Arabidopsis thaliana: one gene and its partner. The protein of the gene in region 1 interacts with the protein of each later gene in a pairwise test. Each region holds a gene or a part of one and is shown on either strand. Other genes may lie near its edges.

The links. Proteins that work in one complex are often made in the same cells at the same time.
Region 2: the proteins of AT1G31760 (region 1) and AT2G02060 interact in a two-hybrid assay, tested with the Arabidopsis thaliana proteins (one large-scale study listed by BioGRID).

Annotation. Positions count from the first base shown.
Region 1 is NC_003070.9:11,371,841-11,376,208, reverse strand, and holds AT1G31760 (SWIB/MDM2 domain superfamily protein), read left to right. Parts: upstream 1-1,907; 5' UTR 1,908-2,794; coding exon 2,795-3,007; intron 3,008-3,481; coding exon 3,482-3,607; 3' UTR 3,608-3,815; downstream 3,816-4,368. Other genes in the region: ABCG14 (ATP-binding cassette 14), read left to right, coding at 26-213, 307-957; AT1G31750 (proline-rich family protein), read left to right, coding at 4,178-4,368.
Region 2 is NC_003071.7:492,950-498,308, reverse strand, and holds AT2G02060 (Homeodomain-like superfamily protein), read right to left. Parts: upstream 3,565-5,359; 5' UTR 3,549-3,564; intron 2,929-3,548; exon of another isoform or gene 2,634-2,928; 5' UTR 2,619-2,633; coding exon 2,459-2,618; intron 2,265-2,458; exon of another isoform or gene 2,227-2,264; intron 2,041-2,226; coding exon 1,964-2,040; intron 1,858-1,963; coding exon 1,818-1,857; intron 1,545-1,817; coding exon 1,403-1,544; intron 1,278-1,402; coding exon 1,148-1,277; intron 922-1,147; coding exon 700-921; 3' UTR 531-699; downstream 1-530. Other genes in the region: AT2G02061 (Nucleotide-diphospho-sugar transferase family protein), read right to left, coding at 1-284.

The DNA.
Region 1 (4,368 bases):
GTTATCTGTTCTTTAAATGGAGCAGCCAAAAACCTCAAGTCAGAACAATGGTGCACAACTTGGTGGTACCAGTTCACTGTATTGCTCCAAAGAGGAGTCAGAGAGAGGAGATTCGAATCTTTCAACAAGCTCAGGATTTTCCAAGTCATCAGTGTTGCTTTTCTTGGTGGCCTTTTATGGTGGCATACTCCAAAATCTCACATCCAAGATAGAGTAAGGCTCTCTTCTTCTAGATGCTAACACACATTTTATTCAGACATCAGTATTCTAATTCTAACCATCATTCTACATTTATTCTGAATGCAGACTGCTTTGCTCTTCTTCTTCTCGGTCTTTTGGGGCTTCTACCCGCTATACAACGCGGTTTTCACATTTCCACAAGAGAAAAGAATGCTAATCAAGGAACGGTCTTCCGGAATGTACCGTCTTTCCTCCTATTTCATGGCTAGAAACGTTGGGGACCTGCCCTTGGAACTTGCCCTTCCAACTGCTTTTGTGTTCATAATTTACTGGATGGGTGGACTTAAACCTGACCCAACAACGTTTATCCTCTCGCTACTGGTTGTTCTCTATTCTGTCCTTGTTGCTCAAGGTCTTGGCTTAGCCTTCGGTGCTCTGCTTATGAACATCAAGCAAGCCACAACGTTAGCATCTGTTACTACACTCGTTTTTCTCATAGCCGGAGGATACTACGTGCAACAAATTCCTCCCTTCATCGTATGGCTCAAGTACCTAAGCTACAGCTACTACTGCTACAAGCTGCTTTTGGGTATTCAATACACTGATGACGACTACTATGAGTGTTCAAAAGGAGTCTGGTGCAGAGTTGGAGACTTCCCAGCAATCAAGTCAATGGGATTGAACAATCTCTGGATAGACGTGTTTGTTATGGGAGTGATGTTGGTGGGTTATCGGCTCATGGCTTACATGGCACTGCATCGGGTGAAGTTGCGGTAAACGTGCAGCCGAAGGTAACAACAACTAAGTAACTCCAAGAAGCTCCAAAGAAAATTTTCCCCACTGCAACCAAGGAATAATAGTAGTATTAGAAAAGATAAAAGTCGTCGAATTTTGGTCGATTTTACTTACGTATCCGAGATATATATCCGACGACTTTCTTTTTATTTTAGGCTAGATGATGATAGTACTCCTAAGTTTGAGAATAAAACAGTGAGATAATGTATGAGATAAGAAGGGAAACCAAGTATATACTAATTCCCATTTGCAAAAACAGTGACTAAACTTTCGGTCCACTCTTCCATGGAAATGATTGTTGTATCTTTTGTGGGGTTCCTTAAAAAGAAAAGGTCTACTCTATCTCTACACATTACTAGTCACCTGCAAGTGCATATCAACTGGTGAAAATCAATGAAATGTATGTATCAGATAATTAAACAACTTGCGGATAATAAGACTAACAACGACAGGACATAAGCAAACACACCTGACCATGGCTCTCCTTATCATCTCAAGTAACTTTACTGGTACTTTGAAGTTTTCTTTACCACACATATAGACTTTTTTCAACTGCAGAATTTATGTCAACAATAGCTACAGGAATAATGTGCTTTCGCTTTCATGATAAATACGAGTCGAATAATTGAAACTTTAAATGGCTGTTGTTATACTTCACATCGTTACTAGCTACACAATAATTTAAAACCAAAAAGAAGAAGTGGGGAAGCTACAGTGTCTGCAAAACAACATAGAGGAGCAAAAAACAAATCATTGGATGAGAAAGGCCCACAAGATATGCTTACACATTAAAACGTGATTCACTTTAGTCAAGTGGAAGCTGATGCAAGAAGAGAAATCCATGTCACTCTCTACTTTGTCAAGTGTCATTATCATCACCTAGAAGAACCATCTTCTAACCCTTCCAAGTAAAAACTTGAAACGTCATTCACTAACTTGTGTTGCTTTCTCAGACCTAAATACATCATCCTTTCTAGTGAGTGATATACATACGAAAGCAAGAGAGATCATCATATGATCTAATCATGCTCTTTCCCCCTTTATACCACATATAATAACTACACAAGTTGCCGTTTTTAGTCTACTAAATGACCATAAGCATCTTTATCTTAACAAAGATAAGATAAACTAACCAGAGAAGATGAGCAAACATGTCATCTCTTAAGTCATAGATATTAACCAAGTTTGTGAAAAACCTTGTCATTCACCACTCAGAGACAAGAACTAAAAATCTCTAGTAGACTAAGACAACTAAAATCAACTAATACATTTAACAACCACTGATATCGATTAGGGTTTCCACTCACCACATCGTTCTCCTTTTAAGAATATGTCTCATCCAAGTTGACGGTGACGCAGCGGCGAAGAAGACTCTCTACGGCGATGTTGCGACGGAGCATCCGCCATGTACGAATAGCGACCGGCATCAAACTATTAAACGGTGCCGTTTGTCACCGAAGACTAAAAGTTCATTTTAAATTGCATATTAACCCTTACATTTTACCTTTATTTTCGATAAACATCCTAATTATTTCTCTTTTTTCTGAAGCCCAAATAGGCCCAAACTGAATTTTAGCTATCTTCTTAAATTGCACATTAGCTCTTACATTTACCTTTAATTTCGATAAAACATCCTAAATATTTCGTTTTTTATGAAGCCCAAATAGGCCCATAGTTTATGAAAGGCCCAAAATGAGTTTAGCGATCTTCTTTTAAGAGTCTTTCTTGTCTCTCTCGCCGAATTTTTCTCTATTTGACTGTTGTTAGGGTTTTAGCTTCTTCTCTAGTCGTTGTTTGTTTCTCTTTTCGGAAATAAAAAATGGCGGGAATTTCTAGGGTTTTGGGAGGGTTCAGGACACTGATGTCGAAGGCGGCGACTGTTGAGGCCGTTACTGTAGCCGGAGAAGGAAAAGGGATATTCAAGACTCGTCCGGTGTCACAGCAGCTAGCTAGCTTCGCCGGAGAAAGGGAACTCACTCGTGGTTCCGCTCTGAAGAAAGTTTGGGAGTATGTGAAGCTTCACAATCTCCAGGTTTGTTTGATTTTGGAGCTTTCTAAGGTTTTTACTTTGCGTAGATCTGTTTATGAACTTAGGGATTTGGTTGCTTTAGAGAAGGAATTGTTGCATGTAAACTAAATCGATTAAGCATTTTAGTGGCGGATGATTTGATTGTTATGTAGAACATGGATCTTGAGTAAAATGCATGTTATCTTGTGGTTGAGAATGGATTGTTTGGTTTTGACTATATACATGAAGCATCTTGTGGGTTTGGTTGTGAAGATTACTTGGATTGTTGTGTTGGTCATTATCTTAGAGAACTTGGAATTGTAGTGTTCTTTGAGTTTTGGAATTAGTCTATTTAATGTAATACACACAGATGATGTCTATATGTTGAATTGGTTGTTCAATGTAAACAACAAGCAGCTAATGTAGACCATAAACTTCTCTGTTTTCTGGATTATTCATAGTTTCTGTTTGAGTGATTCATTTCTTGCCTCATTGTAGAATCCGGCGAACAAGAAGGAGATTCACTGCGATGATAAGTTGAAGACGATTTTCGATGGCAAAGACAAAGTCGGAATCACAGAGATCATGAAGCTCCTCTCACCACATTTCCCTAAATCCGTCTGATTTGGTGATGTTTATCTAACGTAGTTGTATCTATCTAAGAAGAAATGGTTTGGCTTTTGTGGTTCATTTCGGGTTGTATATGAAACTCTAAACCCGTTTGAACTTTGGTATGTTAACAAACCAAAACAATAACTCTCTTTTGATCCATCTACCGGAGAATATTATGTAGTTTGACCATTTTATCTTAATATTGTTTGATTTTGTGAAATTACTCCTCTCTCTAATCTTTGATGGCTTTCTGCTCTAATAGTCTAATGTGTCGTGTGAGCAACGATTTCGTTATTATTGTTTAATGCATATGAATGGTCACAATTATTTTATCCTCTGATGGAGAAGAAACGTGTCATGATCAGAAGAGGAATAAGAATGCGTTGTTAAAACGAGCAAGCATCAACGCGTCCATTTCGGTTTAAATCAATAGCTAAGAGCCTTTTTCGCTACACATAACCAAATATCGCACACATGTATGTGTCTAAACATAACATAGTATATAGTTCATTTTTCCATATCTTGTATCTCTCTCTATTCATATCATCTTATTATCTCTCAAGTTCTTGATTTTAATTAAAGATGGGTAAAGACGACCACCACGAACAAGACAAAAGATTCTTCTCACATCATAATCATCACGGCCATGGGTATCCGCCAGGAGCTTATCCTCCTCCACCGCAGGGAGCTTATCCTCCACCGGGAGGTTACCCTCCGCAAGGTTATCCTCCACCACCTCACGGCTATCCACCGGCCGCTTACCCACCTCCACC
Region 2 (5,359 bases), on another chromosome or scaffold:
GATGGAGACGGAGACGAAGAAGAATCGTTGACAGAGGGGAAAATGCGAGAGAGGGTGGAGGAAGAGTCAGAGACGATTCGGAGATAACCAGAAGTTCTGTAGAGGGAGAAGCAGAAGCAGATGAAGAAGAGCAAGAGAACGGCTCGGAGTACATTGCCGGAGCACGGTGGGATTACGACGGAAGTTACGGCGGCGGCGGCGGAGGAAGAATGATTCTCGTCGGAGTAAGAATCGTTGAGTATCGCCGTCTTGGAATTGGAGCCAAAACGGTTCGATAGATTCATCTTCGCCGACGTTGACGACGTTGGTCATCGTCTGGGCGGTTATAAGGTAGTTTCAAGTTTTTTGAATGTAAAACGCGGCGTTTAATGAGTTTACCCTCCAACGATGAAACGCAGCGTTTAATGGGTTTTATCTGCGAGATTATTTTTTCTACCGTAGGATTGCCGACCAAAATAACAATGAACATTCTAAACCGTAGGATCTTGATATAGAAACGCTGCGTTTAGGGGTTATCCTTCAAAGATCAAAACACTGCGTTTGGCTCTGTTTGTTAATTTTCCGTTCAAAGGCGATCAAAACGCTGCGTTGATAATTTATCTAAACTTCATTTTCTAGGTTTCTCTACTAACATTCAATATCCTAGTTTCAAAAACACATCCGAATAGTTTCTCTGAACCTAAATCTTGCATAACTTATTTAGCTACCGAGGAGAGAAATTGACAGATTAAGATCAATCTTTGAAGAACCAAAGCAATCTTTGGATACGAATGGTGCTGAACAAGTCGAGACTGCTGCTTCACTCGTTTCGCTCACCACCGATGATCCATTGCTTCTCCAATGATGATGATTTAACGACAGAGACAACGACAAATCTTCTTCTTCTTCTTCGTGTTCTTGTTCCCGCCACTCCTCTGTTCCCTAATGAACCAAAAGACAAAATTAGTTACCAAACCGGACTAAAACCGGTTAAATGCCATTTATATGAAACTAATTAGATTCAATGACAAGTAGTACTTAAACCGGACTCAATCCCTTTGGATTTGACCAGTCTCAATCAGACCGGTTAGAACTCATAACCGGACTTGATTTTGTTTTGCAACATTAAATTTCCAAACCGGTTGACAAAAGAGAAATTTATTTATACCTTGGGGAAATGATGTGACAAAAACGTCGTCGTATCGTTCATCTTCTTGATGTGAAGAAAGTCAGCATCATCATCATAACCACCAGACTCTGAAGTCTGCTGCTCTTTTGTTCTTCCTCCTCCTCCTCCTCTGCACCAAAGTAAAAGGACAATTCAAATACAGACAAACAAAAAAGCAAAACACTTTTTTTTTTTTTTTACTGAAATAAAATTAAAAAACTTTGTCAGAAAACAATTATAAATAAAAATAAATACCTAAATGAAGAATGTGAAGAAAGAGGAAAAGAGTGAAAACCCAAAAGACAATCATTCCTTGTGTGTAAAGACAAGTTGTCATGAAGATAATAATCTTCTTCACTGTCTTGTCTTCTTCTTATTGAAGATGATGAGCTTTCTTCTGTGTAAGAAACAATAAAAACTAGTTAATGAATATTCTCTTATTTTCTGTTCTATTACTCTTGAAAAATATATAAATGTATTTATGACATTTGTCTTATGAATCATGACACTAGACCAATAGTACATACTACAAACAGATACAGTAAAATAATTAAATTCCATCCATTATTATGTGTTTGATGTTAACAGTTCAAATTAAAATCAACGGTCCCATTCTTTTTCCAAATATCATCATTGATTCATTTCATAATTATAAGGAAAAAAATAATACCTGGTTTCTCCAAAGTGAGCTTTGAACCTCCTCTATACATCTGTTTATATATATGTTCAAAACAATCAAAACAAGGTGTTATGAATGAAATATGAATAAAGAAGAAAACAAAATTGATGTTTTTGGTAAAATTAATTACTATTTACCTGAAGGTGGCTTTTGACATGTGAAATGGTAAGTCCCTTCACATCCATCATCTTAAGAACAAGTTTTGGTGTTGCTCCTGTTTCATCAAACCCAACAAAATATCAAAAAGGTGACTATGATGATTCTTTATGAAAAAAAACAAAAACTCAAACTTTATGAATGAAACAAAACAACAAAAGCGTGAAGGTTTTGACTCGGTAACTTGACAAAGATGATTCATTACGATGATGAAGATAAACAACACAATAAGGAAACTTCAAACCTTTTTTTTAGCATAAAAATCCAAACTTTGAAGATAAGAATGAAACAAAGTAACAAAAGTGTGAAGATTTTATTCAAAAACTGATTTTTTACGATGATTGAGACAAAAGAATGAGAAAAGTCCAATTTTTCTAGTTATATCGTAACTTTAGGATGTTTGAAGCAAACAAACACACAAAAGTTTGGTTTTTTTCACAAAAGATTTGAAGAGAAAAAAAGTATAATAAACTTACGGTGTTGACCACCGAGAATCTCGACGGCGTGAACGAAACAACGGTGAAGATCCGGCGTCCATCTAAGCCGTGGAACTGGAGACCGTACGTAAGGTCTAACTCCGTGAAATTTATTGCCGTTAAAGCTTCCGTTACCATTTCTACCACTAGACTTACCCATATCGTTTCAAGAACCCTAAAAACCGACACAAAGATTCGATTTTTACTTAAACCCAAGAGAAAAAAAGGTTTGATATGTTTTGGTTCTGTGAAGAGGAGAGAAAGAGAAACGAGGAGAGGAGGATTTGAGAGGTGTGTGGGTTGGGATTAAAAGAGCAAGTTTTTGTTTTTGGCTTCTTTCTTAAAGATGACTGTCTCTTTTTCCATCTATTCTTTTTGTCTCTTTTTGGATTCATTCATACTTATTATTATCTCTCTATATATGTTTTGCAAAATTCCAAAAAATAATTATTAAAACTTGAGAAATGTTTCATTCATTTTTTTTGTTAAATATCAATTTGAGTTCTTACGAAAAAACTACATTAATTAAAAGAGAGTTATAATTTTGTTGTTTAAGAATTGTTCATGACATATACGTGAGGAATTTGAGGATACGTAAACTATCGTAAAGTCAAAATTTCATAATCTGATATGGTTTATGGTTGGGTCACTTATTTAGACGATTAAACTAGCAAATAAAAAGAATGATGTTATAAAATTGGTTTATTATACTAAACAGAGAGGTGACATGTGTTTTTTGACCTACAAGCTTGTAGTAATCATACGAAAATCCATTTGACTTTGGTTACAAAAGTAGTAATCATACGAAAATCCATTTGACTTTGGTTACATTAGTCTTGACTCGTGACCCCATTCATTATTATCTTAAATAATTTTTTTAAATAGTTTTCGAGAGAATCATTGCATATCAACGTACCAGAGAACTACACAAGGCTACATACATAACTTGCATGAAAAGAACATAGATTCGAGTATTACCCTTGCCCCGATCGATATATAACCAATTGAACATACATTTGTTAGCTTAGCTGGTCAAAAGAATATACTTGTCATAGAAAAACCAAATTTTGTAAGAACACATAATATTTACCTTATAGGGATTTGGGATTTACCCAAATGAAGAAGTTTCCTCCACAGTACCTCAAACTTTACTTTCTCACTTTTTTCACGATAGGTTTTAGACCAAAACGAATAAATTTAAATGAAAATAGCCCAACTGCTTAGCTTTGACCATATAGCATAATTATTATTCCTATTTTTGTTTTTTGTTTTGTTTTTTTAGGGTTTCGTGTTAAACTTTCTGATTTCAAATAAATCACACAATTTTACAATGGTCCTTCGTTATGTCTTTTGGACCACCGTTTTGACTTCATTCCCCTAATTCCTTTACATTTTCTCCCATTTCCCATTCATTTTCCTTCTTATTGTTTTCTTTTTCACTCCCATAATAAGTGATAATAAATCTTAGGATAATATTTATAACAAGAATTATTTATTTTCCCCATTTTTCTTTTTCTCATTGCTGATTTGGTGTACATGGAAGACGAACCAAAACCATCATGTCCCTATATGGTAGCCGACAATAATTACTGATTTCGCCAGTTTTTTCCAACCATGGATTCAATATTTTAATCAACGAATTGTGGACATAAATCACGTTATTTTATCAGCTATTCTACTATTAACTACTTATATTAACATCAAATACTGTTTTTAAATGATGTATGTATTTCTTGTAAGAAATTAAGTACTAGTATATAATTTTTATGTAGTATTAGAAAGTAATTGATTTGTACTACATACTTACTCGTGGTTTACGTGGTATCAGCCATAATAATAAAAAAATAAGAAAAAGCCGATTGAGTATTAATTAAGAGAACAAAATTTAATAATTTATAATTTAACAAAGTCGTCGTCTTTATTCCACACATAAATCAGACATTTCTATACCCAACGAAAAAAACAATCAAATAATAAAATCTACACACAAAGTGAGGTCATTGACCTTTAAAATGTAGCCTATTGTGCTTTGCATTTTCTTCTCATTTATGCACATTCTCTAAATTATTATAAAAACGTGGAATTCTCTGCATATATGCCAAAATTCGCTTTAACGATTTTAAAAATGGTTTAGTGTTTGATTAGACGGTAATTAAAATATAATATTCAGTCACCAGCTTGTCAAAGACACACGAGTTGCTTATATTACCTATATATTGACTAGAAGAATAATACAAAAAGCTACCTAGGTTATGATCATTGATCAAAATAATCAAGTAAACACATTCCAAAAGGTTTTATCAGTGAAACAATTTTACTATATTCACTAATAAAGCCTTTTATTATCCTACTGATGATCATTGATCGATAAACACAATTGCATGGATGGATAAAATGTCTAACCGAGAGTTCAAGTCTCAAAAATCAAAATGGTTAGTACTAATACATGTATGAGAGAAAGTGGAAGCAAATGAAAATAATACATTAAATGAGTCTGGCAGAGACAAATAGCTCCAAGAGAAATTGAATGAGTAATTGACTGTGGAGGTCCATGATTCATGGCTTTTACCACAATCAAAACATTCAATAATTCTCTTTGCTTGTTTTTTTATTAATATTATAAAACTTTGTACATACATGTAAGATAATGTAACCCAACTGGATTTTGGACTATAAAAAACATAACATTCTTTTTTGTGTGTGGAAAATTTGGATGTGCAAATCTCACCGAACCATTCGACGATTATCAATGTTAATTTATTATTCTATTGGGTCAATTTTCTCATCACCCATTGATTGAATTCAATCATAGCACATGCAAGAACAAGGCAAATTCTAAGATGGTTAAAGTAATATAAAAGGTGTAATCCATGAAACACCTAGAGAGAACAGAGAAGAATT